Alligator mississippiensis: one gene and its partners. The protein of the gene in region 3 purifies or fractionates together with the protein of the main gene of each other region. This does not show direct contact. Links are inferred from orthologs where the notes say so. Each region holds a gene or a part of one and is shown on either strand. Other genes may lie near its edges. The genes, in order: SART1, PRPF3, EFTUD2 and TTC27.

Region 1 (6,879 bases), on a different chromosome or scaffold from region 3:
TGTGGCACTCGGGTCAGGTCCCGGAGGACTGGAAAGGGGCCAACGTGGTCCCTATTTTCAAGAAGGGGAGGAAGGAGGATCTGAGTAATTATAGGCCAGTCAGTCTCACCTCCATCTTTGGAAAGGTCTTTGAAAAGATCATGAAGGATCATATTTGTGGGAGTCCAGCGGGAAAAGTAATGCAACAGGGCAGCCAGCATGGATTAGTAGCAGGTAGATCATGCCTGACCAATATGGTTTCGTTTTATGACTGTGTAAAAAATGCTTAGATGCAGTAGAGGTGGATGTCGTTTTCATGGACTTTAGCAAGGCCTTTGATACGGTATCTCATCCTATTCTCAGAAATAAATTAAGAGGCTGTGACATAGATGTTTACACGGTTCAGTGGGTGGCAAATTGGCCCAGCGGTCGAACCCAGAGAGTGGTAGTAGATGGGTAGGTATCGACCTGGATGAACGTGGGTAGTGGGGTCCTGCAGGGTTCAGTCCTTGGACCTGGACTCTTCAATATCTTCATCAGTGACTTGGATGTGGGTGTGAGGTGTACTCTGTCCAAGTTTGTGGATGATACTAAATTGTGGGGTGAAGTACACACTCCGGAGAGTAGGGAACAATTGCAGGTAGACCTGGAGAAGTGAGAAAAGTGGGCAGTACACCATAGGATGCAGTACATCAAGGACAAGTGCAGAGTGCTGCACCTAGGGTGCAAAAATATCCAGCACATCTACTGCCTGGAAAGTGACCCTCTCAGCAGCACAGAAGCAGAAAGGGATCTTGGAGTCATAGTGGATCCAAGATGAACATGAGTCGGCAGTGTGACGAAATCATCAGCAAAGCTAATGGCACTTTATCGTGCATCAGCAGATGCACGACAAATAGATCCAAGGAGGTGATACTTCCCCTTGGTTGGACAGTTGGAGTACTGCAGCCAGTTTTGGGTGCTGTACTTCAAGAAGGATGTTGATAGACTCGAGAGGGTCCACAGGAGGCCACTCGTATGGTCAGGGGCTTACAGGAGAAGGCCTACGAGGAGAGACTGAGGGACCTGGACCTCTTCATCCTCTGCAAGATAAGGGCGAGAGGTGATCTTGTGGCCGCCTACAAATTCATTAGCGGGACGCAGCAAGGGATCGGAGATGCTCTCTTCACCAGGGCACCTCTTGGGGTAACAAGGAGCAGTGGTCACAAACTGACAGACAGCAGATTTAGGCTGGATATCAGGAAAAACTTCTTCACGGTAAGGGTGGCCAGAATTTGGAATGGACTGCCGAGGGAGGTGGTGCCCTCCCCTACCTGGGGGGTCTTTAAGAGAAGGCTGGATAGGCACCTGGCTGGGGTCATCTGATCCCAGCACTCTTTCTTGCCCCGGGCAGGGGGTCGGACTCGATGATCTGTTGAGGTCCCTTCTGACCCTGGCATCTATGACCCAATAAAACCCTAAAGATCCAACCCCTACACAGCCCCTAGCCCTTATATGTGCCCTATAGAACCTCCCCACCTCTTATAGCCCCGTGCCCTGTAGACCCCCAGCTCTTACCCTGTAGACATCCAATCCCTAAAGAATCTCTAGCCGTTACAGATGCCCTATAGAACCTCCTCAGCCCTTACAGATTCCCCCTCCTATAGAACCCCCAGCCCTTATAGAGCCCAGACTATAGAAGCCAAGCCCTTAAAGATTCCCTATAGGTCCCAGGGCCTATAGACACCCCTCAATCCTTATCAATTCCCTACAGATCACAGCCGTTCTAGGAAAACTACATGGCTCCTGCCAATAGAGAACACCCAGCCTTTATAGATCCTCTGAGATTAGCTAGCCTCTATAGACTCTCCGGCCCCTACAGACTTTGCCAAGAAATCCCAAGTCCTATAGACCCCTGCAGGAGCCCAAGCCCAGGGCAGGAGGGTCTGCAGGGGTCCCCTGACAGCTGGGAGGGTGGGGGTGGCACCTGTAACCTGCCCCCTATGTGACTTGCCCCCCCAGGTCTCAGGAGCGGGCGCGCATGGCGCTGTACAAGGCCCAGCTGCGGGAGATGGAGGCTCGCGTGAGCAGCCGGCCTTACCTCTTTGAGAGGGTCATGCAGGTGCGGGTCCCGCCCCGGACACCTGGGTGCTCTCGTGCTCTGGGAGGGGCGTGGGACTTGGGGGGTTACAGCTGGGGCGGCTGGGAGCTGACAGCCCCTGCCCTGCAGGCCGGTGCCCGCCGGGCCATAGAGCACCGCTTCTCCCAGGTGCTGGAGGCGCTGGGCATCGAGGAGGCCGGGCTGTGGAGGCAGGCGGGGCACCAGGGCCCCCCCTCAGCAGGTATGAACAGGAGCCCCCTGCCCGGACGCCTGGGTTCCCTCCAGCTATCGGAGAGGAGCAGGGTCTGGTGAATTAAGGGGGGAGCCCGGACACCTGGGTTCTCTCCTTTGCCATGGCGGATGCTGTGCCCTCCTGACAGGTCTCCGCGGACAAGGGCCGAGACCCACCTCTGGATCCACCTGAGAAGGCCCTGGAGTAGCGTAGCTTCTGCCCTGAATTAAACAGGCCTTGGGAGCCGGGACACCTGGGTTCTCTTCCTGCTTGGGGAGGAGTTGGGGCTGGAAGCCGGGATGGCTGGGCTCTCGAGCTAGGGGAAGGACGCGGAGTCCGGGGGCTGGAAGCAGGAGCGGGTTCTCTTGTGCCCTGGGAGGGGCGTCGGACTCGGGGCTTAGAGCTGGGATGACTGAGAGCCCACGCGCCTGGGTTTTCTCCCAGCACTGGGCAACCAGCTGGGAGGGAGACTGAGCCACTGCAGGCGCTGCCCTCATACAGCGCCAGGGGGCGCTGTGCTGCAGGGGTGCAAAATCCACCCCCACGATCCATCAATGGTACATGCCATTAAGGATGCACCAGACTGTGCGGATTGTACCATGCCTTCTTGGTGGGGAAAATCAATCTCCCCCCTTCTGGATCATACCATCTCTTCCTTCCATTGGGAGAAAGGACATTTTCCTCACGCTTCTACTTACAATGGTATGTCCCTCTGTGCCTACAGAGCAGTAGGTGGGTCATGCCACTTTTTCCTCTGGGGGGGGTCTAATATTCCACCCCTTCTACTACCAATAGCATTTCCCAATATGCATCTAGTGCAGCATGTGGATTATACAATCCTATCCACTCCCGAGGGGAAATGTTTCCTCCTTGTACTCCTAATAGTATCCCCCCGCCCCCCACGCCTACAGACGAAGTGTGGGTCATACCATTCCTTTTGTAAAGGAGAGGGGTAATCGCCCCCTTTGTACTGCCAATGGTATTTGCCTGTACGCATCCAGAGCAGCAAATGGATAACACCATCCTTTCCCCTGGGGGGGGGGGGGAATCTTTCCTCCTTATACCCCGATATGATTCTCCCCCTTCCAGCATACGTGGGTCATGCCACTGTTCCCTGAGTAGGGGGATAAGAATTCTCCCTATTCTACCACTGATGTGTTCCTACATGCCTCGAGAGCAGTGTATGGGCCATACCATTCTCCGCCTTTTAATGGGGGGAGTTAACCCTCAACCCCAATTAAGGTAATGTTATTTAAGGCCTAGGATGAGTAGCCTCCCTCCACCCCTCAGGGGCACTCCACCCCCGCTTCCACTACAGGAATGGTACAGTCCGACGGCGGCTGGGCACAAGATAGTATTTAGCGGGAGCCAAAGCGGAAGTAGCTTTCAGCGCTCTCCCACTTCCCGGAAGCAGGTAAGGCTGGCCACTGGAAGTGGTATGACTGACCGGAAGTAGCGACGGTAACCACGGAAGTCATGTGACTGAGCCTTCCCCACGTCCACCGGAGGTAGTGGCGACGAACGCGGAAGCCGTGTCCTGACCTCGCCGGATGTAGAAGCCGTGACCCGGAAGGAGTGTTTCGCGAGACGGGAAGGGACGTCTTTCACCCCGGAAGCGGCGGGAGGTTGACCCCGGAAGGGTTTGCGGCCGCCATTCTGCGTCGCTATGGGCTCTTCCAAGAAGCACCGGGAGCGCGGGGAGGCGGCGGCGGCGCCGGGGGCCGGCTCTGGGACCGCCGGGGGTGGGGCGGGGCCCGCGGAGGACCCACCCCCAGCCTCGGCCCCCGCCCCCGCCTCGGCTTCGGCCTCCTCCTCCTCCTCCTCCTCGCGGCACCGGGAGCACAAGAAGCACAAGCACCGCGGCGGCGGGTCGGGCTCCGGGTCGGGCTCCAGCGAGCGCCGGGGCAAGCGGAGCCGCAGCCGCGGGGAGCGGAGCCGGCGGCGCAGCGGTGGGGACGAGGCCGCCGCCCCCGGGGGCAGCAGCAGCCGCGGGCATGGCCGGGCCGGGGAGCGCGGGGCCGCCGAGGCCGAGGGCGGCAGACGGGCCAAGCGCGAGCGGCGCGAGGACGGGCACGAGACCGGTGAGGGGGGCGTGGGGGCGGTGTACAGGAAAGGGGGGGGAGTGAGGGAGGGGCTGCTTTTCGGGGAGCAGGGCAATGGGGAGGAGTGAAGATGAGGGTGGAGGCTTATCTGTGGGGTGGGGGTCATGGGGTGTCGGGAGGGGGCTGTGAGGAGCCCGGGTCTGTGGCAGATCTGACGCTCGGGCTGGGTCCTGGCTGGGAAGTTCCGGGCAGAGGGGACTTCTCTTGGCTTCACTCACGTCTCCCCCTTGCTCCCCTCCGCACCAGCCACAGCGCTCAAGAGCGGCTCTGGAGAAGCCCTGTCCCTCAGCATTGAGGAGACCAAGTGAGTGAGAGCTCCTTTCCCATCCCCCCCACCTTCCCGTGGTGCAGTCGTGCCTCACCCCGTGGATGCAGGTGGGGTTGGGGCTGGGGTTGGGGGGGGCTACAGCTCTCAGGCGAGCGGGGCGCAACACCTCGCCTTTGTTCCAGTCCCGCCTAGTTGCCCTCAGCTCATGGGAAGCCTGTTTTGCCCCCCATGGGTCAGGTCTTGGCAAGTGCAGCTGCCCTGAGGAGGGGCTATGAGCCCTGCTAGGGGGGTAGGCACTGCTAGCCCAGACCCCATGTTTCCCATAATAATCTTGGGCTGAATGGATCTCGTTCTAATGGGGTGAATGGATCCAGTTGTTTGTGAGATCAGGCAGGGAGATTCTTTGCTGGTTGCGCTGTGCGCTGCCCTGAGCAGCGCAGCATGGGCAGGAGGGAGGAGGAGGAGCTGCGGGGGGCAGGAGCAGCACCTGGGCGGCTGCAGCAGCCCTGTTCAGAAGTGGGCCCTGGCTGGGGCCGGGGCAGCTGGGAGCGCGGCATCTGTTGCCCCAGGTGGCAGTGGACAGGGCTCAGTCCCCTGCGGGGCACTGTGGGGGCAGCTGCCAGCCAAATGGGGTGGAGTGGGAGGATGACTGCAGCTGCACCACCCCGGCGGGGCAAGCTCTGTTACATGTGTCCCCTGTACCCCCCCCCCAACCTTTCCTCACCCCCAGCCAGCTCCTGGTACCTAGTGCACAGGCAGCCCACCTCCACATGCACCTCACATCCCTCCACACCCACTCCTCCATGGATACCCCCCCTCCCCCACATACACGTATCCTCCTCAACACCCTGCTCAGACAACATACAAGAGTAAGATTTTATTTTTGAGCTATTATACAGTTGCCTGTTTTTGTAGTACTTGAAACGGAGACCAGGCTTAAAAATTATTTTTTGAAATAAAACTAAAATGCGTCATAGTACATGCCTGGGTTTTTGTATGCAATTTTTGTCTCTGACCTGTTATGAGATGCAAAAGATTTAGCAGGTGTGGTTCTCCAGAACTCATTACCTAGCCCTCTAGCTGAAGTCATTGCCCACCCCTGGCTTACTGGGTTCCCACCACCCTGATTCATTAATACTCAGTTTAATAAATAGTGTGACACATCAGTCTTGGTCACAGCCCCAATGTACATGAGGGTGGATGGGTCATGAAGGAGGGGAGCTGGTCCAGGAGCCCTGGTTCTGAGCCCCAGGCACTTTGTGACTGTCACCACTTTCTGTCTGTAGCAAACTCCGAGCCAAGCTGGGCCTGAAGCCCTTGGAAGTGGGCACCATCAAGAAGGGTAAGTCTGTATTGAGCATGCCTGGGGGGAGTGAACCCAAGCACCCAGCCTACCAGCCCCCCTACTCTAACCCCTCAGCCCCCACTTGCCTTCTGGAGCTAGAGAGAACCCAGGTATCTGGGTCCGAGTGTTTGTCTTTCCCTACCTCAGCCCCCACTCCCATTCAATAGCTGGGAGAGAACCGAGGGGTCCGGGCTCTCTCAACCCCTGCTGCAATCCCCCAGGCCTCATTCTTATCCTTGAGCTGGGAGAGACCCCAGGCATCTGGTTTCCCAGCCCACACTCCCTGCCCAGAGCTGGTGAGAACCCAGGCATCCAGATCTAGCACCCCCTGCTATCACCCCCCCCACCCCCTCACTCCACTTCCAGACCTGGAGTGAATCCAGGTATCTTGAGTTCTCAGCGCCCCCGGTCCCTTCCCATCTCCTGGCTGGTGCAGTCCCGGCCCTCCCAGCCCTGTCCCCAGCTGTTCTCTGTGCTATGGGTTCTTGGGGGGGCCTGGGGAGGGAGTCTCAGGGGGTCCAGGGCACACCCATATTTCATGTATGCTCCCCCCCCCCGCAGAGGCAGGCACCAAGGAAGACCCGATGGCGGCCGATGTCATCAACCCGATGGCACTGCGGCAGCGTGAGGAGATCCGCGAGAAGCTGGCGGCTGCCAAGGAGAAACGCCTGCTCAATCAGAAATTAGGGTAATCTCACCCCTTTGCTGTATCCCTGCCCCCTTGCTGTCTTGGCCCTGGCCCACATCCCTTCTATCCTGCCCCCACCCTCGCACCCACTCACCCAAACACAGCGGCATCCCTGCTTTTGTCTCCCAGAGCATACAAGTTCTAGGGGCAGAATCCAAGAGTGTTTCTTTGCAAAGAACCGTGGG
Region 2 (7,496 bases), on a different chromosome or scaffold from region 3:
GGAAGTGGGTGGGGAGCAGCCTCAAATGGCAGAAACTGGGTTCCATTGACAGCATGTCTCAAAAACAAAAAATAACCCTCTGCTGACGAGTGATCTGAGCAAGCATGAGATGCAAGGGAGGAATCAACAGGGAGTCCACAGAGGCTGCTTTCCTGGCTGGTGGTTCAAGGTAAGTGGTATCTGAGGTTCGGTGCTACCTCTCTAATGAGAGATTTTTAAGAATCTCTTGCCCCGTAAAACTGAAGGAGCTGATTTTTTTTCTTCGCCCCCTGCTGAATCTGTCTGGTCTGCTGGTCAGATCTGCGCTGAGGCACTTCTAAGGTGGATTTTAACCCAGCAGAGTGCAACAGCTCAGCCAGGCCCGTTCTCACCACTGGTGTGCAACACCATCTTAGTGCATGTACCTTATTTACCCACCTACCACACTCACCTCCGTCCCTTAAAATTAGCAAGTGAAAATTGGGGTGCAGACCTTAAAGGAAGAAATGGATTCTGAGCCATTCAGTTAAAAGGAAAAATCCTTTTTCTTCTTCAATCTGCCTCTGCAAAACAAAGTGCAGGTCTTAGCTGGGGGGATGTGTGAAAACATAGAGTAATGCTGACCAGGTACTAATAATATTTAGGATGTTACTTTCCAAAGCACTTTGCAAACACAAGCCACCTTTCTGTCTGGCTGCAAGACTGGGAAGTGTTACCTTCTCTGGTTTTGAGGTGGGGGAAAGATAAAGGGTTTCTCTTCCTTGCAGAGGAGATACACATCCAAGCTAGCTTTAAACTAGCTGGCTGGGGTACTAGGAGGGGTTATTTGGAGGTAGGTAGCTTGCACTGAGCTCTTTACCTTCACAAACTATGAGAAATGCCCATGCTTGCTAGTTTAAAGCTAGGCTGTGGTAGACTCACAGAATAGCCATACCCTGAGACCCAGAGAAATGCAGCAACTTCTACCCCACCGCGGCAAAGTTAGCACTGAGGAATCCTGGCTCTCCATCCTGTTCTCAGACCTCTCTCCCCTTTTAAAAAACTGCTTTTAAAATAAAGGAACATTCACCCCAGAAGACCTAGTCTGTTGCATTTCAGGCCTTACTGAATTTTTTACAGCCCATTTATAAAAGCCCATAATAACAGGGTCTGTCATTAAAAAGCCGCTGGATTATTAACGGGATATCAATCAGATTCGTTTCCCAGCTGCTGGCTCTTGCTGTGTCCCCACCACCCCCTCCTTTCCCTCCCTCCTTCGCAGCCACAAATGGATGCACATTTTGGGTTCATTTACATTTTAATAGCTAACAGTTCTAGCCCCACAAGTGCTGACCCACCTCTGCACTTATGACTCAGATTTGGATGCGTGATGGGGTCAGGGGTCCCTGAGAATTGTAGAGATCCTGATTTAAACTAGTGGAGTCTATGACAATGACTAAAGGCCAACTGGAGATGATTTGAAGGCTCTGATGTTTTTTATCTTTCATTGCTCCAGGGTGGTTCAGGACCCAGAAGCATCAGGATATGGTAGGAGAGGCTGTTTCATAGTATCCCTGCTGAATCTCAGGGCTGAGCCCAAGGTGAGACATCTAACCTGATTTTTGCTGACAGCTGGGCAACAGGGTGCTGAGTTGAACTGAAGCTAAACTAAGATTCCCCCGGTGCTTTTAATGAGGTGGGACTGGGGACTCCTAAAATCCCAGAGGATTTTAACCGGACCTCACTTCACTAGCTACCATTTTCCCTGTGCTGTGATAGGTGGTGCTGAGCCTGGGGACTCCTTCACTTCCACTGTTCTGTGAATAAACAGGGCACTTCGCTCCCCAGGCGCCTCTCAGTCCCGAGCCTTGGCCCTCAGGAAGGGCTTTGTGCTACACCAGTGCTCTAGAGGATGACGGCTTTCCCCATTTATTAATCGGATATTGATTGATCTCGGGGAGTATGTCACCAGCATTGGTCTCATGGCATCCTAGTCTTGCTGGTAACCTCCCCCTGACAGATACATTAAATACTGGCTTGGTAGAGTGGGTCTGATGAACAGGCAGTGGCAGATAATGTGACCTCTCCGTGCTGCTCAGCAGATGCGCCTTTTATGAGAGATCTCAAAACACTTTACAGAGGGCAGTGAATGAGGCTTTCCAGCCCCCAGGTAGGGTTAGGGTTATTTGACCTTGTTTTCCTGTAGGGATACAGAGCACCAGGGAGATGACATGCCTTCAGGGCCAGAGCTGGGAAGGGAACTCAGAAGCCCCAACTGCAAACCCTGCCCTGATCATAAATGCTCCTTGACAGAGTGATTATCTAACCTGCCTTTTATAGTGCATTTACTTGTGCCTGCTGCCCCGTGTCTTCAACAAGCAGAACGCTCTTTGCTCCCCAGCTCAGCAGAGAATCACGCTGTACCGACGTCTGACTTTTGGCAGAACTCCTGAGGGGAAATAAATAAACCTCGTCTGGCATCTTGCGTGCGCTTCTCTTTCATTTGCTCAAAGTCACATCTAATCTGTCCTACCTGGTTGCCCAGTGCATTCACCTTCCTGTCACTTCCTGGCTCCCTCTGTTTTCATCTCTGGGGCACTGCTGGCTAATTCATGTGTCATGCCGTGACCCGGTCACTGAAATGTAGGTGGCTCCCTGGATCACTCATCGGGAGGAGTTTGATTCAACTGCCCTGCCCCTTGACACACAAAAATGATCCAATGCCAGGACAAATTGGGACACCCATGCCACCTGCAGGACCTCCTGCACGGAGGTGCAGACTATGCTGAAATATGGGATTGGCTTGATGGTGTAATCCCACACTGGTGTGCAAATATCAGTCTCTCACTGCTGTAAAGATCTGGGCTGGTTTCAACAGGCTTGGCTGGCCTGCCACATTTGGAACAGGCTATTGAGGGAGGTGGCAAAATCTCCATCCTTGGATGTTTCCAAGAACAGGTTAGACGGGGCCGATCCTGCCTTGAGCAGGGGGCTGCGGCCTCCTCGGGGCCCTGCCAGCCTGACTCTTCCACGATTTCCCCCTAGCGGGTATTTCCCTTAAAGCCCCAGCTCCCGGAGCCAGGGGATCATGCCATGCTGCAATCTTCTCTGCTTCTGCTTAAACAGCAATGGGGATCTAGCCCGGGGGGATGAAGGAAATGACACAAAGGTGGAATCAGAGCATGGTATGGGAAACAGACAGCCCCCCGAAAAACGGGCAGCCCAGCTGGTTGCTTCGGGGCCAGGCTCGTGACGGCGGAGCGCTTGGGCCTGGCCAGGCTGCTCTCGTTTCAGCAAGGGCGGGGGGCATCGCCCTGGTCCCTGCCTGCAGAGGAAGGGGGCGCCGTGCAGGCAGTGCCCAAGGGGGGCAGTGGGTGCTTGACATGGGCCGAGGCAGCACCCCCTGCGCCACCCCCTCCTCTTACCCCAGTGCCCCCAGGCTCCCACACGCTCCTTTTGCCCCCTGCCCCCTCCTCTTTCCCCAGTGCCCCCACCCCCCCTTTTATCCCCCTGATATTGCCCCAGTGCCCACCCCCTCCTTTTACCCCCAGCCCTTCCTCTTGCTCCAAGTACCCCCACTCCTCCTCTTACCCGCCCCCGCCCTAGACTCCCCCCTCCCAGAACCCCGTGGGCCCGGTTGCCATGGCGCCCGGAAGTGGGCGGGACGGCGCGACTTCCGCTTCCGGTGGCGGCGCCTGTGACCCCGGTGGACCTTGGGGGGCGCGAGACGGGGTGAGCGTGGTCCCCCCGAGACACCTCCCCGCAAAGGGGCAGTGCCCCCAGCCCTGCAGCAGCCCCGGGGCGGCAGGGCGCAGGAGGCGGGGGTGAGGGGGGGCGCTGGGCGCAGGCAGGGGCAATGGAGGTGCATGAGCGGGAGCGGCCAGCTCATTGCAGGGCGGCTCCCCGCTGGCGAGGCCACACACATCTGGAGCCCGGGGTCCAGTTTTGGGAGGGATGTGGACCCGTGGGAGAGAGTGCAGCGGAGGGCAAGGAAAGTGTCTGTGGGGCTGGGGGACAGGACTGGTGAGGAGAGGCTGAGGGACCTGGGCTGATTTAGTCTGGAGAAGAGGAGACTGAGGAGGTTGAACAGCAGCCTTCAGCTCCCTGCAGGGGGTTGCAAAGAGGACGGAGCTGGGCTGGTCTCAGTGGGGGCAGGCGGCAGACAAAGAGCGATGGGCTCCGGTCGCAGCAGGGGGAGTCAAGGTTGGATATTAGGACAAAGTTTCTCCCGAGGAGGGCGGTGAAGCGCTGGACCGGGTTCCCCCCGGGGGTGTTGGAGTCTCCGTCTTTGGAGGTTTTTAAAGCCTGGTTCGAACAAAGCTTTGCCTGGGATGATGTAGTTGGGGCTGGTCCTGCTTGGAGCAGGGCGTTGGACTAGATGTGACCTCCCGAGCTCCCGTCCCACCCTCATTGTCTAAGAGTCTAAGTCTGTGGCTTTCTTTCCCCACCTTTCTAGGTCCCCGCTTGTGGTGCAGTGGAGACCAGTCACGATCCGGTGCCTCCTGAGCCTCAGCCTCCACAGCCGCCATGGCGAGTCACCTGAAATTCATTGCCCGGACAGTGATGGTGCAGAACAAGGATGTGGAGGCGGCATATAGGTCACTGAACAAGTAAGAGGCAGTGGCCGCCTTTGCTGGGCCCTGTTGGCAGCTGTGTTTTAACAGGGAGCCGAAGGATTCCTCCCTGAACCCCCTCTGCTGGTACTTGAGCTGCAGCTTGGATTTCATGTCATGCTCTTAAAGCAAAGAATCCCCCCCTAGAGCAGTGGAGTTAGAAGGGAGCTCCAGGGGTCACATCTAGTCCTGAGGCAGGATCAGTCCTGTCCCAGCCATTCTATACAATCCATCATCTAAACTCTACGTAAGGCTACTGTCAGCCCTGGCACAACACAGACCTAACCCCCTATGTATGAACCAGTCATGTTCTTGGCACTCGTGCAGGCAGGGGGGTTTTGTTAGTGTGTCGCACCATCAGTCTTGTGTTCTAGTGGTTAGCCCAGTAGATTCGGGATTGGGACACTGGATTCTTTTCTTCCTTCTATATGACGAAGGAGACGAGGACACAGGGAAGTCAGAGGGGCCATTTTTCAAAAGTTGATGAGTCTGGGTTGTCTGTTCCCCTCTATGCGTCACCCGGAGGGGATCAAGAGAAACCTGGCTGGGTTTAGCAGGGTTCAGTCTAGTGAGGTTAGACAAAGAGACCACATTCTGGCTTGCTTTTACTATGATCTGTGATTACCCTCTGAAGAAAATTGGCTTCTGATCATGACAGGCCCTCCAAGCTCAGCAAAGAACTCCCTGTGACCCCAAAGCAATAAAACTGAGCTTCAGCGAAATGAAGCCCAGCGAATCTGAGCTCAGAATGGATGTAGAAGCAACCACGGTCTCACAGCTTCACCCAGCATTGCCCGTCTTCCCAGTGGGTGTTGTCAGGTCACAGCAATGAGGATCTGAACCATTCATAAATTCAGACGCTAACTTTTAAATGTATCGGTCACATTTCAGGGGTGGAAAAAATAATGTTCATGTTACATTTCAAGGGTGGAAAAGGTAATGTTCATATCTAACAGCTACACTGTATTGCTCTGATTATAAATTGGCCTCTGAAGGACCCTACTACAATTGGCACTTGGTTTATTTGCAGTCTCTGGCTGTATCCAGGCTTCTCAGCCTGGTCTGATTTTTTTTCTTTTCCTTGTAGTATTTTTGTGCAGTAAAAAAAACAAAAACAAGTCAGAATTATTGTTTCCAGTGCAGTTTTCGTTTTGGTGTATTTAGTGCATTTAACCTTTTGGGTCCTTTCTGCTGCAGTTTGAGTCTCCTTTGGCATTTTGTAGGGGCAGCAGCAATTCAAGGTTTGTTTTTTTTATCTGTAGTTACGGATTTTTATTCAGGGGAAAAGCTGTTTTACCTAATACTGTATTTGTTTGCATGCTGCACATGTCCTTTTCCCAAGAAGCAGCTCTCCAAAAGCGGAGTGGGTGTCTTAAGAAGGGAAGCTGGTTTCTGTGTCAGAATAGAAGCATGGAGACACTGTAATGGTTGCTGGAGCTCTGCTTCTTTCTCTGGTGTCACAGTTAATTTTAACTAAGCTGCCAGAAGCTGCTGCTAATTCAGTAGCAGGTGCAAGAAGATTAAAAATGTAGCTGTGGCTGAGCAGTGATGTTCAGGATTCAGCCCTGACTCTGGAAGCACCTTTTTTCCCCTTAATTCAGCCTTAAGATGCATGTCTGATTTGGGGGTGGGGTGTGATTTGTGAGGAAATACAGTATTGTACAATGTGCAATGTCTCCTCATAATCAAGACAGTACTGGAGGTCTGCAATAGGATGACTCCCTTTGGCAATCAGTTGAGGGGAACATTAGAAACATAGCTTCATAGTCATTAGGGGTTGGAAGGGAACTTACAGATCATCGGGTCCAGCCCCTTAGGCAGTTAAGACTGCTGGAATCGGATACCCCAGCAAGGTGTGTGTCAAGATGTATTTTGAAGATTGCAAGGGTGGGTTACTACACCACCTCTGGAGGGAGCCTGTTCCAAACCCTCGGCACCCGACTTGTAAAGAAGTTTTTCCTTATGTGTAGACTGAAGCGATCTTCAATCAGTTTGTGCCCATTATTTCTTGTCCTCTCCTGGGGGACCTTGGTGAATAGTTGCTCCCCCAGGCACTGATGTTCTCCCCTGATATACCTATAGGCTGCCACCAAGTCCCCTCTGAGTCTTCTCTTCTCCAGGCTGAACAGCCCCAAGTCTTTCAGCCTCTACTCGTATGACCTGGTCTCTAGGCCTCTAATTATGCACATGGCTCTCCTTTGGACTCTCAGGGTTCTCCACTTCCTTCCTGGAGTGCGGCGCCCAGACCTGGACGCAGTACACCAGCTGTGGTCTCACCAAGGCTGAGTAGAGCAGGAGGATGACATCCTTTGCCCTGCTCAAGATGCCTCAGTAGATGTATGCCAGTGTTTGATTAGCTCTGCTAGCTACAGCATCGCATTTGTGGCTTGTGTTCATTTTGTTGTCTACCATAACATCCAGGTCTCATTCAGTTGTGGTACTGGCAAGCATAGCACTGCCAAGTCTGTAAGTGTGCTGGGGATTATTTCTCCATAGATGGAGCACTTTACATTTCTCTGTATTGAATGTCATCACGTTGATGTCCACCCACCTCATAAGCCTGTCCAGGGTGACCTGTATTGCAGGTCATTAAAAGGAAGAGGCAAGGGGAGTTGCTTAGAGCAGTACAAGCTGTTCTCACTGGAAAGGAAGGGGTGGGAATGACTGGACGAACTCCAGCTGAATAGCAGGAAGTGTTTCCTAATGCTGAGATCTTGGCTTGCAGGTTCAGGTACTGTCGTCACTTGAAATTAATGAGGTCAGTGCGCTGGAAAGTAAGCTGTAGGGAATAACCCTGCTCTGGTATGGGGTGGACTTTGAGCCTTCAAGAGTTCCCCTTGTGTCAATAAGAGAAGGTTGATTGGAAGAGAGAGGTGGAATTGGCCTCTCTGTCTCTGTGCCTCAACTTCCCCATCTGTGAAATGA
Region 3 (7,871 bases):
CAAACAAGTCCCTACTGCTCTCCTTTTCCACCTGGCTCAGGAGATCCACATTGAGCCCAAAGCGCTTAGTTTCTGAAAGGCTCTGTAAGATATGCAGGGTGGCTTCTCTGTCTTCACCACAGACATTCTCTGCCAACAACCTGAGGAACTCGCCCAGGAGGCCAAAGCCGAGATCCGCTTGAAAGATTTTGCCCAGGCCTGTGCCTCCGAGCTGCAGTAGGAACTGGTATTTTTCTTGCCCACTTTTTAAGCATCTGCGCCAATCTCTGTAGAATTCTGAAGAGGTTTCAGGTAATCGGTCCAACCCCTGGAAAGAAAAGACCAACAGCAATAAGTGAGCACCAGGCTTCTCCTGTTTCCTTTCCTTTCTACTTCTGAAATCCCTCTCATTAGTCTGTACACACTGATGACTGTCTGAATGTATGTGTGTGTAAGGGGGTATGGGATCCTAAGTAAACTGGCAAAACTCCCATTGACTTCAATGGGGCTGAGATTTCATTCCAAGGAAAGAATGGATGGTGGTCACACAAAACAGGTCACCTGTGGTAACTGAAGTCACAGGAAGAAAGGTAAAATAGTGCTATGGCTCAGAAGCCAATGAAGAGACAGCAAACAAAGTTCAGGAGTAAAAGGCTAGTTTTCACCCTGGCAATAAGGGAACAGTGGCAGAGACAGGATGTAGGACTAAATGGAGATCTGATCTACTCAAGAGATTTCAATATTTGGGATTTGTTTAGGGCTTGTTCACATATGGAACTGCTATTTCTTCTGAGTGGTCTTTCCTCAGGTTGGGGGAGGCCTGCTTTTTCGAATCCTCATTCTCTGCAACCTAACATCCACTGCTTTCTCTACTGAATGGCCTCTGGTCTGTTTTGAATTTCACACGCTATCTTGTTCTGCAATAACTTTCAGATGTCAACAAACCAATAGTGATGGAGGATTCATAGATGTAGGGTCGGAAGGGACCTTGTAGATCTTCTAGTCCGACCCCCTACACTGGGCAGGAGAGAAAACTGGGCTCAAATGACCCCAGCCAGGTAAATGCTGAGCCTCCTCTTAAAGACCCCAGGGTAGGAGCCATCACCACTTCCCTTGGAAGTTGGTTCCAGATCCTAGCTTCCCTGACTGTGAAGTAGCGCCTTCTAATGTCTAGTCTAAACCTACTCTCTAGCAACTTATGGCCGTTATTCCTTGTTACTCTGGGAGGCGCTCGGCGGAACAAGGTCTCTCCCAAACCACGCTGGTCCTCCCTAGTAAGTTTATAGACTGTTTTTTTTCCTCACCTGGGCTATTTCCACCTCGCTGTTCTGCTGGCACTTAGCTTGGGTTGCACAGGAATTCCACAGTAGGTTTTTCTTTTTTCCAAATTTATCCTTTTTTTCCAGGGGCTTCAGGTGTGATGCCTGCACAATATCCCTATAAGCAAAATCCTGTAAGAGCAAATACCCTCCACATCAACACCAACGCAATCCTGCAGGGAAAGGAAGTTGACTGGGCCCTGCAGGGGAAGGGATTGTGGCCAGGCCCCAACCCAACTCTGGGGTGGTGGTGGCCTGGCCCCAAGGGGTTGGAAGGGGTGCCCCAGCTCCAATAATCCAAAAACAGGGTGAAAGGAAATGGGGTGCTCTAAACAGCTGCACAGGGCTTGGGGTTTTGGCAGCAGGGAGAATGACTGTATTAATGTTCACTGCTCCCCCACCATCACATTTCTGGACCTGTGGGGAGCCCCATGGGCCAAATGAGTTGGCTCCATGGGCCACTATTGGCCTGTGGGCCAGAGGTTGAGCACCCCAGTCTAGAAATAAAAGTTTTTCCAGCCAAATGATGTTGGTTAAGGGTATGGTTTTTGTTCTCTCAGTTTTCTAGCAGATGCAGTTAAATGAAAATATAGGTGTCTTACATCAATATATAGCCTGTACTAGTTCCCAAATCAAACTAATACAAGCTTTTTTTATACTAGTATAACCACATCCACTTTAGAGGGGTTTGCCACTTATGCTGGCAATGTGTGTAAGATCTGTGCTGCGAAGGCCAGTCCCCTTTATGAGAAATGTTATAGTATGGGTGCTAAATAAACCTTTCCTTTCTTTTTAATTCCATTCTTCTTTGTTTTTAACACATCTTGTTTTGATTCAGATTCCTAGGGTCTGAGTAATTTCCCCACAGAGAGGAATATCTCATGACTTTTCTGAGAAGCTGCAGGATAGAGCTTTTGGAGTTACACGTCCCTTACCCAGCAAGTTGGCCTAGACAAAGAGCTCCTATCACAAGAAACTGTGTTGCCATTGAGTTGTGGGTGAAAGACATGGACCTGGTCACACATACTCCTTATTGCTTCAGACACTCTCACAGATTCAGTCCTCCTCACACAGGTGGGAGGATATGACAATACAACTTCTGAGCAGACAGTGTCACTACATGACACTCAGAAATACAAACTTTCATCCTGATGAAAGAAACACTGGATTGTTGTATTCCCAACTCCAGACTCGCCACATGAAACAAGTTGCCTGCAAACCTAAATTCTTCATAGGATGCCACCTTCTGGTGAACAGCTCGAAATTTGGCATCATTTTCTCTCCAGTACTTTTCATCAGCAGCAACAGCAGCCTGTAGTTCTCTCTCCAAAGCACAGAAATCTATTGCTCCAGATTTGTCCATGATGATAACCTGAGAGCAAAACATAATTAATGGCATGCACAGACCAAACAATTATACCAGTTTACTGTGACTCATGCTGAACCAACTTAACTATTTCATCTGTCCTCTCTGTATCAGTGTAACTTTACACCTGTTTCATTCAGTTTAATTCTGTTTATGCTGGGATGAGAATAAACAAGATGAAGCAGTTATAAGTGGTAAGTCCCTTTTACACACTATTTTAATATAGTGTATAACTGCATCTCTGATTTAGTTACTTTATAACGTCTGGCCTGCAGGCTGGATCCAGCCCATCAAACTGTTCCATCTGGCTTGCTGGTAGTCCAGCAGGCTACCAGAAGTTGACAGCATAGCTAGGAGGCGTGGTGTGCATACAGCCCTCGTTTGCCTCGTGCTCATCCCTGGACCCATGCTGTCACCAGCCCCCAAACCAAGTTACCTCATCCCCTGCCCTACACACCGTTGGCTTTGCAGATCCAGCCCAAGAGACCTTGGGGTCTAAATCTGGCCTAAAGTGCCAGGTGAGTTTGACACCGCTTATCTACAAGGTGCAATTCTACCCTGCCTGCTGCCTGACTTCAGACTAACATGACTAATGACCTCTATCTGCCCACAAGCCAGAATTACTTGGGGTGCATGAGCACCATGCAAGGGGAATATTCCTTGCTCTTTCACATCCTGTATATTACTTGAACTCTTGTTAGACTTGCTGCACGTATCTAATTATTAAAGGTGTACCAATACATTGGTCCCATATTGGATCAGCACCAATATAAGGCAAATTGAGTGTATCGGCTTTTTTTGGCTGGTGTGGCCAATAAATGCCCCATACATTCGCGAAGCTGCAGCACAGCATGCAGGCAGCCAGGAGTGCAGCCTGGCAGCATGAAGAGTAGACGGGTCTGGCCGGTAAGTCTATAGGGGGGGGCAGATTGAGGCCCCCATGGTGAGGGAGGGAGTGGGGCTGGGGCAGAGGCAGGTGCTGCCCAGCAAAGCCGGGGTGCAGGACTGGCCGCGCACAGGGAAAGGGGGTGATTCTTGCTGTTGTGCGCACCCCCAGGGGAGGCATGGGGGGGGGGTGCCCCTGAATCTGCGCGCAGGCCGAGGGCAAGCTGCCGCTGGGGGCTGGGGCCAAGGCAACACTGGGCTCTTCCCAGGTGGGGGGGCTGGACCAGGCTGTGCTTGGGGAGGATGGCGGCAGTGCTGGGAGGGGAAGTTGGGAGGGCTATGGCAAATTTTGGGGTGGCTGAAGCCCCGCCCCTAGCCCCACCCAGTGCCACCACTGCCCACCCTGAGCACAGCCCAGCCCAGCCCCCCTGCCAGGAAGAGCTCAACACAGCCCTGGCCCAACCTGCCCTAGCCCTGCACGCAGATGCGGGGGCACACGCCCCGCATGGCCCCCCCAAGGGTATGGGCAGCGGTGGGAGCTGCACCCCCCACCCCACACCTTCCCAAATGAGCCACTCCTGGCTCCGTCCTGGGCCCCCCAGCCCCACTCCCTCCCTCAGCGCGGGGTCCTCAGTCTGCACCCTCCACGGCCCTTCCCTCCCCCCACAACAGACTTATCAGCGGGAGGCTGCTCTCCACACTGCCCGGCTGCACATCAGCGATTGGAACGGTATCGGCTGAAACGGCTCGTTAAAAATCGGCCATTGGTATCGGCCCCCAAAAATCTATCGGTGCACCTCTATTAATTATACAGTGAGTTCATGCAAACCCCAATCTGAAATGATGACTTTGAAGTTGGGCCCAACTTTCCAGGGCACCTGCGTTCCATCTCAGCTGAGACAAGTCTCAGAAGAACACAAGAACTGCCCTTGACTGGGTCAGACCACCAGTCCATCTTGTCCAGTCTCCCCTGTCACGCCGCACTTCGGACCCCAGAGCGCTCCCCGCCGGGCCCGATCCCGGCCCCGGGGCTGCCCCGACACTGGTTCCCCGTCTCACCGACCGTCTCCATAGCAACAGCGGGACGCGCCGCCGAGGCCCCTTCCAGCCGGGGCTGCCCCACCCAGCGCCTGCTCGGAACCCAGACACTCCTCCCCCCAAAACTCAGGCCGGCCGCTCCCCACCCAGCCCCCGAGCTCTCCCCACAGCGGTTGCCTGGTGGAGGGGCACTGAAGTGACCAGCCCCTCAGGCGGGCAGCTTGGCCACCCCCCACGCGGTGGGGGGGGGGTCCTTCGACGCGAGCGTCGCACGGCGGCCGGCGCGCGGGAGGGCAGGCGCGCGGTAGCGGAGCCGGGTGCGTGTCGGGGCCGCTTTCGGGAGGGGAGGCGGAGACAGGCCTCGTTTTCGCCCCTTGGCGCCATGGACACGGACTTGTACGACGAGTTCGGCAACTACATCGGGCCCGAGCTCGACTCGGACGACGACGACGACGAGCTGGGCCGGGAGGCCAAGGACGTGGACGAGGTGCGGCCCCTCCCCGCGGGGGGCGGGGGGCCGCCGGGAGACGGGGCCCTCTAGACTCTCTCCCGTCTTCTCCGCTCTTGAGAGCTGGCTTTTGCAGGCAGAGGTCCAACCTGCAAGGGGTTGCTTGGGCCCCCCTGCCCCACACAGTGGGGGCTGGGGCGTGGGGGCAGGAGGCAGCAGGTCGGGCGTGAGGGGTCAGGACTGGCCACTGATGTTTACAAGTGGGTCCTGGTGCAAAAAAGGTTGAGAACCGCTGCACTAGGTCAGATGGATAGTGGGGGAGAGGGAGAGAAGGGCGGAGAGAGAGCGAGCGAGTTTTCACGAGCTGACACTTGCTTCACTTATGAAGTGAGCTTCAGCCCATGAAAGCTTGCATGCACTCACTCTTTCTTTATATGCATGTGTGTGTGTCTTAGTTACTTCCTAAAGGGGTGTATTGGCCTTGCCTCCTGATATAATGGAGAGACAGAAGTAGTGTTTATAACCCCAGAGCAGAGGCATGGTCACTGGGATGTGTTGTGTGGTGAAAGGGGCTGCACCTGATGACCCAGAACAATGTTCCTAATGGTGTGGTTGTTCAGAGTTGTTTACAGGCAAATGAAAAATAGTCACCAGTTTACCACGCAGATTCTTCATAGTTTCATAGTAGCTAGGGTCAGGAGGGACCTGAACAGATCAAACAGTTTTCTGAACAAATCTTATACAGTTAGAGTTTCATGTGCTGTATTTTGCAATTGTGCTTTGATGTGGAGCGTAGCCTGGCTTGCTGCTTGCTTGGCAAAACTTTGGTAGCCTATGTACATGTACAGAAGGCAACATCTTGTGGTTGCACAGAATCACAGGGTTGGGAAGGACTTCAGGGGACCATCTGGTCCAACCACACCTGCATGAATGTAGGAATGATGCTCCTAAATCATCCACATCCAGTGAATATTTGCATTTGGCAGTGGCCTCTGGAATGGATTCAAGGTGGGGAAAATGGCTGTTAAATAAAAATTGGGAGAGATTGTCAGCACTCCTGTCTGGACCTGTTTCTGATCAGTGCTAGAGATATTCAGTCCCGGTGCAGGTCCCAATCTTGGTGTAAGTCAGTGTGGCTTCCACCTGTGCTCATGATTTGATATGTGACCACAAGCGTTTTTCTATCCTAAAATGGGGTTGAGAATACAAACCTTAGAAGGGGTTTTGTGGATCTTAACATCTAAAAAGCTCTTTGAGATTGTTGGGTGGATAAAGTATTTCTGTTGTCGGTTTCAGCTTGATGATGATGACGATGATGACGATATGGGAGACCATGATGAAGATCACCCTGGAATGGAGGTGGTACTGCATGAGGATAAGAAATACTATCCCACTGCAGAAGAGGTCTATGGGCCTGAGGTAGAGACTATAGTGCAGGAAGAGGATACACAGCCTCTCACTGGTAAGTAATTATAGTCAGTAAATCAGATTTCTGATCAGGAAAGGTTTTTGTTGGCAATCATGGAAGGAAGAAAGGCTCTGAAATCCTGCTGGTGGTGGTATTACTTGCATCTTCTCAGACATTCAGTCTGTTTTGTCTTTGGCATTTTAATAGAAATTCTACTGAGAGTATTAACAAAAAAGAATTTAATTCATAAAGTAAAAGAACCAAGTCTCTGCTTAAAGGGAAAAAAGTGATAATGGAAATTGAGTTAAGCCTGCAAATGAGCCAAATATTTGGCTCCTTACCAGTTTTAATTTGCCTTATAAAAATCCTTTTCAACCTCCAAACTCCCAAGACTCTTTCCACTTTGTTAAAGATGCCCAGAGGCATCAGTGCACCATTGCGAACGCCAGAGGAGTTCTGTTGTGAGATGTGCAGAGCATACACTAACTGTGGCTGAAAAGATCTTAAAAGAAGGCAAATGAAAATCTGTTTCAGTTATGTCTTAATCTTCCCCAAATAAAGCAGTTAAAGTGGTGTCATCAACCTTAAATATCACTTTTTTTGGTCTAGTAATATGCTTAGTATTGTCTCAGTTAATGCCTTAGGTTAATGTCTCCAAACATCAGCATTTTAAGAACATTTTTTTTCACTGTAAAATTTTATTTTGGTTTCAGAGCCAATAATTAAACCTGTGAAAACCAAGAAATTCTCCCTGATGGAGCAGGCATTACCTGTCACTGTATATGAGATGGAGTGAGTACTGTATAGTTTTTTGGCTTTGTTTTTTAAGTGCACATCTGGTTTAGCTCTCCTGTATTTTTTTTCTCTTTCACTTTCCACCCAGGTTTGCCACTGGAGGGAAGGAAAGTTGGGGTGTGTGGGGGTTGCCTTGAGGAGAAAGCTGCTGCAAATTGAAGGTGCAGCCATTGTGCCTTTTAGTAGTATTGGAATCCTATTAATGTAACTGCCAAGGCAGTAACTTTCTGGTTATGTTTCTGTTCTCTACACAGGTTGCTCCTTAGTCATCTTGTTCTCACACTTTCTTTATGCCGCACAGATTGATCTTGTGGCTCTATTAGGCATGTTTTCAGCTTTCTCATGACTTTTCTTTGAACTCTTCTCATGTTGTTAAAATCATTCTTGAAGTGCAGACATCAGCACGACACACTGCCCTAGCAACGCTTAGTAAAGTTACTGGTAAATACGAGAGGTGCATTACCAGTAAAGTTACTGGTAAATACTATGCCCCGTGCACAAATCCGGGGCACACATGCCCCCCATGTTTCTCCTGTGGGTGTGCGCAGCGGTGGGGAGCCGTCCCCCTCCCTATACTCCCTGGCCAAGATGCCTGCAGGGTCACATTCACTGCCCTGGCTGGGCAGCACCTGC
Region 4 (7,423 bases), on a different chromosome or scaffold from region 3:
AGGAGCAAGGCCAGGAAGGCCAGAGACTGATCCTGGGTAAGACCTGAAACTGTACCCTACTGGGGCTGGTTAGCATAGTGGGGCTGCCTATGGCAGGGCAGCCTCCATGAAATGCCATGCATGGGCCACTTCAGGGAAAGGTGAGTATGGGATGCTGGAAAGCCTCAGCTCTCACTCCTTTGTGGGTTATGCTGTGGAAGGAGAAGGCTAGGGGAGCACACCCTGACAGAAAAGCACTGGGCCTGGGAATAGTGGGGTACTGGGAACAGAGTGCATGACTGGATCAGTCTGAGGGCCTGGAGACACCCAAAAAGGGTCCAGGACAAGAGACCAAAGGGGCTACCAGAGGGGCTGGGAGAGGGGCCAAGGAGCCTGGTAGCCCAGGGAATGGCTGTGTGAGGGGCTGGAGGAGAGACTCAGGGGTCTGACAACCCAAGAGGGGCTGAGGGGGAAACTGAGTGTCTTGCAGCGCAGGAAGGGGCTGTGTGGAGAGACCAAGAGGTCTGAGGGCCAGAGTGGGGCTGAGAGAAGCAGAGGGGTCAGAAGACCCAGAGAGGGGCTGCATAAGCCACTGGTAGAACATCTGTGAGGATGCCCTGTGAGGCATGGTGCAGGGGAGGTATGGAGCCATACAATTGGCCCATACGGCCTTGACCACAAATACAGGGGTCACTACAAAAAGACCAAGGCAGTCTCCTGCACTCTTTATAACAACTAACATCAAGGTGTGGCAGACAGGAGCTGGGCAGACTGCCTGTGAAGCAGGCTTTATAAAAAATGTTTTTGGTACCCTGTGACACAGTCTAATTCAAAGAAAATAAAAGCACCAGTCAAAGTACCACAATGAAGAACATTTACAAATTATTACCATTCAGAATTCATTACCTTCTGGGAACTAGAAGCAGAAATATTCCAAAAGGAAATTTCATTTTAAATAACTAAAAAATATATCAACAATGTAAGTCTATTTTTTCCCTTTTAACTAAAGTCTTAGTCATTGCTTGTCAGTGTTTTCATGAGACAGTGAACATTGGTTGGGGCATTCATTTTTTATTTTAATCTGTCAATTAGGCTAATTTTAAGAATTGATCATTTTGATTTTGGAGAATAAAATCTATTTAAGTAAATTCTGATCTGTAAGTTGTTGAGGCAGGTCATTTTATTAGCTGCCTCAAAACAGTGCAATTTTCCTCAGAACAATGAAGAAACAAACCTAACCTTTGACTACCACTTAAAAAAAAAAATATAGGGATAACAATGGGAAAAAAGATGCAGACAGGCTTGTCCAGGGACAAGAGGAATAAAAACAAACAAACAAAAAAAAATCTACACACTACATGCAGCCTTCTTTATACAAAAATGTAAGTCAATTTAAAGTTGGGGTAAAGCTCAGACGCAACATAAAATGGACAATTAAATGGGTTATTGAATGCCTCATTTCACTGAAACATGATTTCTGGTATACCAATACAGCTGTCAAACATGAGCCTTCAGGAAACAGAGACAATATATTTAGGTTCTACTAAAACAAACACAAAGAGACAGCATATTATCATGGTTATTCCAAACAGGTTTAGTAATTACTAGTACATTTTAAACTGCAACCATTTCCCAGTTTTACAAAAACAGAAGATGGAAACTGATGGTGTGGTAGGTGATTCTACAACCTTTTGCCACCAGACTTAAATCCATTCTAGCTTCAGAAACTTGTTGCCAGTTGATGGCTGTTCAGTGTCTATATAAAATGAATGATAGCTGTAGTTAAGAAAATAACTGTAAAAGCAATTTAGTAGTGCTTAACATAAAGTTTGTCCAGTATCTTTGAAAATGTAACACATTGAACAATATAAGAAGGGCTGTTGCTGTGTGAAACCCATGAACGCCCAGGGGGACAGGGCTGTCCTTGCATGGGACCTAGGGAGAGCCCACGTTAACTGCCTGTGAGCAGTTAACATGAAGCCTGAACACTCTGGTACCTGCCTCTCCCTCTGCTGTGTGGGAGGTGTGGGGGGAGAGGTGCTAAAAAAGTGTACATTTTTCTCCCACATTTTTACTTATGCAGCCTTGCCACTGGAAAAGAAAAGAAAAATAATCCATAGAATAATTTCACTTTGACATCATAATAGCATATATTGGTATTCTTTTGGTATCGATTTGATATTGATACACTTATAATATCTGTACTTCCTCTTAAAGTTTATTCATTTCAAAGCAAATTCAAGAATTACAGAACTGTCTGGATTTTCTTGTTATGTGGCAGAACGTTCCCAAGATATATGGACAAGCTTGATGCATCTTGGAATTGTAATTTATTTGTTTAAAATACGTGGATGGAACTCCAGGGAAGAAGCAACATTTCAAAAAGCTTCCAACTGTCTCAGGGCCGTCAAACACAGTGGGTCTCTCTCCATGAGACGTTTACTGCAGAGCTGCCTAATTAGCTCTGCAGCAAATGTCTCTGTGTCTACAAGTGTGCCCCTATTAGGGCACACAAACCTGATAGACTCCACAGCAGGCTAGTACTTGGAAATACAGCCATGAGAGTTGGGAGGTGAGGGCTCAAAAGGAGGTAGGGCTTGCAGGATGGTATAAACCAGGGGTGGGCAACTATTTTGCCTGGAGGGCCACTTAATGAGTTTTGATAAGCTGTCGATGGCCACAAGGGTAGCCCTGCCCCTTGAAAGGTGTCCCACTCCCTGGTCGCTATCTTGGGACCAGAAGTCCTGCCCCAACCCCTGACTTTTGCTGCTGGAAGTCCTTCCCCTTGCCCCTAGAAGTACTCTTTTTGGGGGGAAGGGAGGTATTAGTGAATGCAAGGTGTATTAGTGAAAATGTTTAGTATTAATAATAGTCCAATTTGGCCAGTAAGAAAAGCAGATGGAAAAACTTGGAGACTGTCAATTGATTATAGGGCCTTGAATAAGGTAACGCCTATGAGAGCCCCCATCGCTGATAAATTTCCAGAAATGATAGCATCAATAGTGGGTGGGGCTAGGTATTTTCCGGTGCTGGACCTTTCAAATGTTTTTTTTTTGCTAGTCCCTCCATCCAGTTTCATGGTATAAATTTGCTTTTACCTTTAAGGAACAGCAATACACCTTCACCAGAGTACCACAAGGATTCCACAGTGTGCCAGCTATTTGTCATGATCATGTGACAAAAATGTGGGAAAAGTTGGATGCAACAGACCAGCATCAGGTGGTCTCCTATGTGAATGATGTCCTAATTGCTGGTACATCAGAAGAAGATTGCAGGGAGTGAACAGGTAGAGTGCTAAAAATCATAGAGGAGACAGGATTTAAGGTAAACCTTCAAGAGGGCAGGGGTTTTGCTATCTTGGAACTGGAAAAAAATCATATACTAAAAATGAAACATTTACTATAACATATTTTAATTTTATTTCAAAAAATATTTTTGTCCTGATTTGTGTGTGTTTGCATAGTGTATATAGAGGCAATTGGGGTGGGGTGGGGTGGGGTGGCTGCTTAGCAGCCAGGGCTACTGCCCCACTAGGTGCTGGTGCATCCTGTATGGAGGCACTGGGTTTCAGACGTGCAGCTGAGGGCTCTGGGCCAGAGATAATTGTCTTTTAGCTTTTGGAGGGGCCCGGCAGGCTGGATGTCATCACCAGGTGGGCTGGATCCAGCCTGCAGGACATATTTTGCCAGCCCAGGGAATAAACCCAGAGTGGGGGAGACTTGACTTGGAAGTAGTTGCTTGAATTTGCATTACAGTTAAGATACCAGAGGACTGGGTTGTAGCTACCTCTGATGAGTGGTACGGAGTCACCCTCCAAAGAGCCCTGTAGTGGTTAGGTATCACGTGGGGGCTGCATGGCACAAGGACAGCCTAGCCTGGGTCAGGGACCCAGCAGGATCCTTGATGTAGGCCCAGGAGTGGCATGCAAGCAGTCTTGCCGGGTCCGGGACCCCCTGGGTCGTAGAAACAAAGGAGCAGCCTTGCCTGGGTCCAGCACCCTGGGGTGTGGAGGAGCCCGAAAAGTACGAGACTGTGGCCAGGGGCCGAGGAGCGTAAGGGGGTGAAGGAGCCAAGGTCCAGGGCAGTGGGTTAAGACTGAGTGACTTAGGCATTGTATGTGCTGTAGCAACTGCCTCAAAAATTATCCTAGGTTTTGAGCAATCAGGGCTGGCGGATAGAAACAATCTCTTTTACTAAGCCAACAAGATTTTTGGCAAAAAAAAAAAAATTATAAAAATAAAATAAATATTTAATTGCAGGCTTTTGGGCACAAACAAATCCTCGGTTTTGAACGCGTTTACTGTTATCGACTGCACGTTGTACACGGACTGAAGGTCCTACACCCAGCACCATGAGCGCACACCCCGCCACGCCCAGAACGCAGCTCCCGCCCCACAGAGCGAGGGCGCTCCTGCGCCTGCGCCTGCCACTCCTGCATCCCAGCATGCCGTGCGCGGGTGTCATGGCGGCGCCCTGAGGCCGGTGGCGGCACGTGTGCTGGGAGGGCGGCAGGATGCAGCTGGCGCTGGAGCGGGCACTGCTGTGTGGTTTCTCGAGCCCGGCGGAGGTTCGGGGCTGGCAGCAGGGGGAAGCCGCGGCGGCAGGTGAGAGGGGCCCGGGGCTCGGCGCAGCTGCTCCGCGGCGGCTGTTGGTGCCCGTGGGGGGCCGGCGCTCTCCGAGCTCGCTTCAAGCCGCCTCGCTGGGCGCGGGGTGGAGCCCGTGCTGCTGCTACTGCAGGTGTTGGGGCTTGCGGGCTGTCGGGACCTGCGGGGTAGGTAGGCCCCCGGCAGCCCGGAGATCCCCGGCACACTCGTGCTGATGCCTCTAGTTGAAGCCAGCCGAGGGCGCTGGCTTTGATTTTGGGCTCGGACTTGAGCCCGAAATCAGGCAGGAGGGAGTGCCCTGTCTGCGGGAGGCATGGGGACAAAATGCTCATCTCTGTTTGGAGAGGTGCTTTGCTCTGCTGCTGTACCCTGAAATCAGGCATTGGTTAGAGCAAGGTGGCCCCTTCCACACCGAGGGAGGACTTGTGGCAGCATCCGGTGAAGTAAACTGTTGTGGAGGGGAACTGATGCCTCTCTGAACTTGTCTGTCTGCACAGTGCGCTTGCCCTGGTTTCTGCCCTATCCTGTGTTTGGGTCCCTCTTGTGCTGTGCATGTTTCCTGCTAGAGTGAAATGGATTCTTATTGGGAAGGTTTGAGGAAGCCGCTAGTGTCTCATTTTTATTATCTGAGGCTTAGTGGGATTTTAAATCTAATCTCTTCTTCTGCTGGTGTACCTTGAGCACAGATAAGCTCCCAAGGACCGTGGTCATGTTCCCACTTGCTGAAATGTTTAGGATGCATAGAACATAAAAAAGACTTTTCAAGGTGGCTCCAGCACAGAGGCAGTCAATTATTGGGGCTGGAAGGCCACTTAATGACTTCTGATGAGCTGTTGTGCAGAGGGAGCAATTGATCATATCTGGCCCTAGGGCTGTCTGCCCTGCACCCACCGCTGGGGGCATTGGACGGAGTGGGTAGGCAGATGGAGTCTCCATAGAGACCAGCCTCGGACCACTGCTGGCAGGACCCGCTTGGCCCAGCAGATTGGGATGGGGCTATGGGTGGGCTGGGAGCAGCAGCCAGGAGTGGGATGGGTGGACAGAGCCAGGGCTGGGATGGTGGGGAGAGTGCAGGTCTGGGGCCTGAGGCAGAGCTGCAATCTGCTTCTCACATGTCCGTGTGACAGGCAGCAGTTCTGTGGGCAGGAACATGTGGGGCTTGGATCGTGGCTCTGTCCCGGGGAGCGTTCCAGCTCTGTGCAGCCACTGTCCCACGATCTCAGCCCTGGCCCGCTCCTGGATGCTACCCCTGCCTGCCCACTCCTCCGTCCCATCCACCTGGCCGAATGCACCCTGCCGTGGGGGTTTCAGGCCCGTCTCCATGGATTCTGCCCCACACCTTCTGGCCCCCCTGGTGGTGGGTGTGGGTGCCTGGGCAGCAGGGCTGGGTCTGGCAGTGGTGGTGACCTGGAAGAACCAGCTGGAAGGAGCCGCTGCCACCATGGGGGTAGCTGGGAAGCTGAGTCTGGCTGCTGCACCACCCCCAACTCGCTGTGTATATCTTGCCTACCGCACTCCTACAGGTGGTGAATTCACCCTTGTTCAGATGGTCTCACCTGCTTCATTTAGGTTCCTACACGTATTTACCAGTGTAGTATCCAAGCACCATCTAGTAGTGCTTTTTAAGCATCTCTCACATGATTTGTTCTTTCACTTCTGGACAGTAAGAACATTAATTATGTAGTGCCGCGGTTTGATAGAGCATGTGTTGCTATCTGTCTGTCAGGTACCCCTGTCCCTTGTGGCAAAAGGTGGTGAGCTTTCTCATAGTCCTTAGCTTTTGTGCAAAGTGTTCCCTTGCACCAGGTGAGCTTCATCCTTTTTGTAGAGGGTGCTGTTCTGTTTTTGGGGGTGGGCAGGAGTGGAGTTTCAACTGCTTAGCTATGCTGTGTCCAGCCTGCTGAAGACCTTAAATTTGACTTAGCATTGTTTAGAATGAAACACAGGTTTGATGTTCTTGCAGTTGTCTGTGTTGTTGAAGAGAGTGCGTTAGCATTCTGTATTAGTTACATTATTGTAAGGGGTGATGGCTTCATGCCCAGTTATTACTTCCCATCTGGACTACAATATATACAGCTGAGGTCAGGCTGTCATTTGCCAGACAGATTCTCAACCAACCAGAGATGTCAGAAAGTGCAACAAGGGGATGTTGCTGTGTAAGGCCTTTGTGTTAGCTCTGCTACCTGAGCTAGCTTGGATATGTCTACATACTTTGTAGTTACACCTTTGTTGAAAGGTAAGTATCTTGAGTTTGCTCAGGAGCAGAAAGTTTAATTCTGGGCCATTGTCAGCCAGAACAGATGTAGCTAGTGTGACTTGCTTCAGGATTGGTTGCAGTATTAGAGGTTGTAAGAGGAAGGGAAGACTCTTTTCCTGAATGAGGCACTGGCTAATTTGGCATGAGTGGCATCAGCTAATCTTGATGCTTAATAAATTAGAAGGGCAGATGTATAGGTCCTGGACAAGATTCTTAGTATTTCTTGATATGTGAATATGCTTTGCTTTGTGCCTGCATTTCTGAAGTTGAGTCAGGCTGTTTGAGAAGCCTTCCTACATGTGCAGTTTGTTATAACTTTATTAGGGATGCACTGATTAAAGATTTTGTTGGCCACTTACTGATGGCCGATTATTGACCAGCCATACCAGACATTACTGATCTGAAAGCCAGTTTACAGGAATGCAGCACAGCAGTTTGGAGAGCAGCCTCCAGCCAATAAATCTGTGGAGGAGAAGGGGCAGGGAGAAAGGAAGGGGTAGATTCATAGATTCATAGATGTTAGGGTCGGAAGAGACCTCAATAGATCATCGAGTCCGACCCCCTGCATAAGCAGGGAAGAGTG

What was found.
Region 1: the proteins of EFTUD2 (region 3) and SART1 purify together in Homo sapiens (affinity purification with mass spectrometry; 4 studies listed by BioGRID and IntAct, with this or other methods). This does not show direct contact. The link is inferred for Alligator mississippiensis from reciprocal best matches to the Homo sapiens genes EFTUD2 and SART1.
Region 2: the proteins of EFTUD2 (region 3) and PRPF3 purify together in Homo sapiens (affinity purification with mass spectrometry; 3 studies listed by BioGRID and IntAct, with this or other methods). This does not show direct contact. The link is inferred for Alligator mississippiensis from reciprocal best matches to the Homo sapiens genes EFTUD2 and PRPF3.
Region 4: the proteins of EFTUD2 (region 3) and TTC27 purify together in Homo sapiens (affinity purification with mass spectrometry; 5 studies listed by BioGRID and IntAct, with this or other methods). This does not show direct contact. The link is inferred for Alligator mississippiensis from reciprocal best matches to the Homo sapiens genes EFTUD2 and TTC27.

What each region holds. Positions count from the first base shown.
Region 1 is NC_081838.1:4,484,786-4,491,664, forward strand, and holds the start of SART1 (U4/U6.U5 tri-snRNP-associated protein 1), read left to right. Parts: upstream 1-3,872; 5' UTR 3,873-3,957; coding exon 3,958-4,372; intron 4,373-4,639; coding exon 4,640-4,697; intron 4,698-5,947; coding exon 5,948-6,003; intron 6,004-6,567; coding exon 6,568-6,694; intron 6,695-6,879. UniProt on the Homo sapiens protein: Plays a role in mRNA splicing as a component of the U4/U6-U5 tri-snRNP, one of the building blocks of the spliceosome. May also bind to DNA.
Region 2 is NC_081838.1:18,909,556-18,917,051, forward strand, and holds the start of PRPF3 (U4/U6 small nuclear ribonucleoprotein Prp3), read left to right. Parts: upstream 1-4,480; 5' UTR 4,481-4,485; coding exon of another isoform or gene 4,486-4,568; intron 4,569-7,496. Other genes in the region: MRPS21 (small ribosomal subunit protein bS21m), read left to right, coding at 4,486-4,568. UniProt on the Homo sapiens protein: Plays a role in pre-mRNA splicing as component of the U4/U6-U5 tri-snRNP complex that is involved in spliceosome assembly, and as component of the precatalytic spliceosome (spliceosome B complex).
Region 3 is NC_081827.1:161,814,724-161,822,594, forward strand, and holds the start of EFTUD2 (116 kDa U5 small nuclear ribonucleoprotein component), read left to right. Parts: upstream 1-4,859; 5' UTR 4,860-4,969; coding exon 4,970-5,074; intron 5,075-6,331; coding exon 6,332-6,497; intron 6,498-7,156; coding exon 7,157-7,235; intron 7,236-7,871. Other genes in the region: CCDC103 (coiled-coil domain-containing protein 103), read right to left, coding at 1-307, 1,284-1,416, 2,519-2,670, 4,379-4,504. UniProt on the Homo sapiens protein: Required for pre-mRNA splicing as component of the spliceosome, including pre-catalytic, catalytic and post-catalytic spliceosomal complexes. Component of the U5 snRNP and the U4/U6-U5 tri-snRNP complex, a building block of the spliceosome.
Region 4 is NC_081824.1:167,463,352-167,470,774, forward strand, and holds the start of TTC27 (tetratricopeptide repeat protein 27), read left to right. Parts: upstream 1-4,412; 5' UTR 4,413-4,492; coding exon 4,493-4,583; intron 4,584-7,423.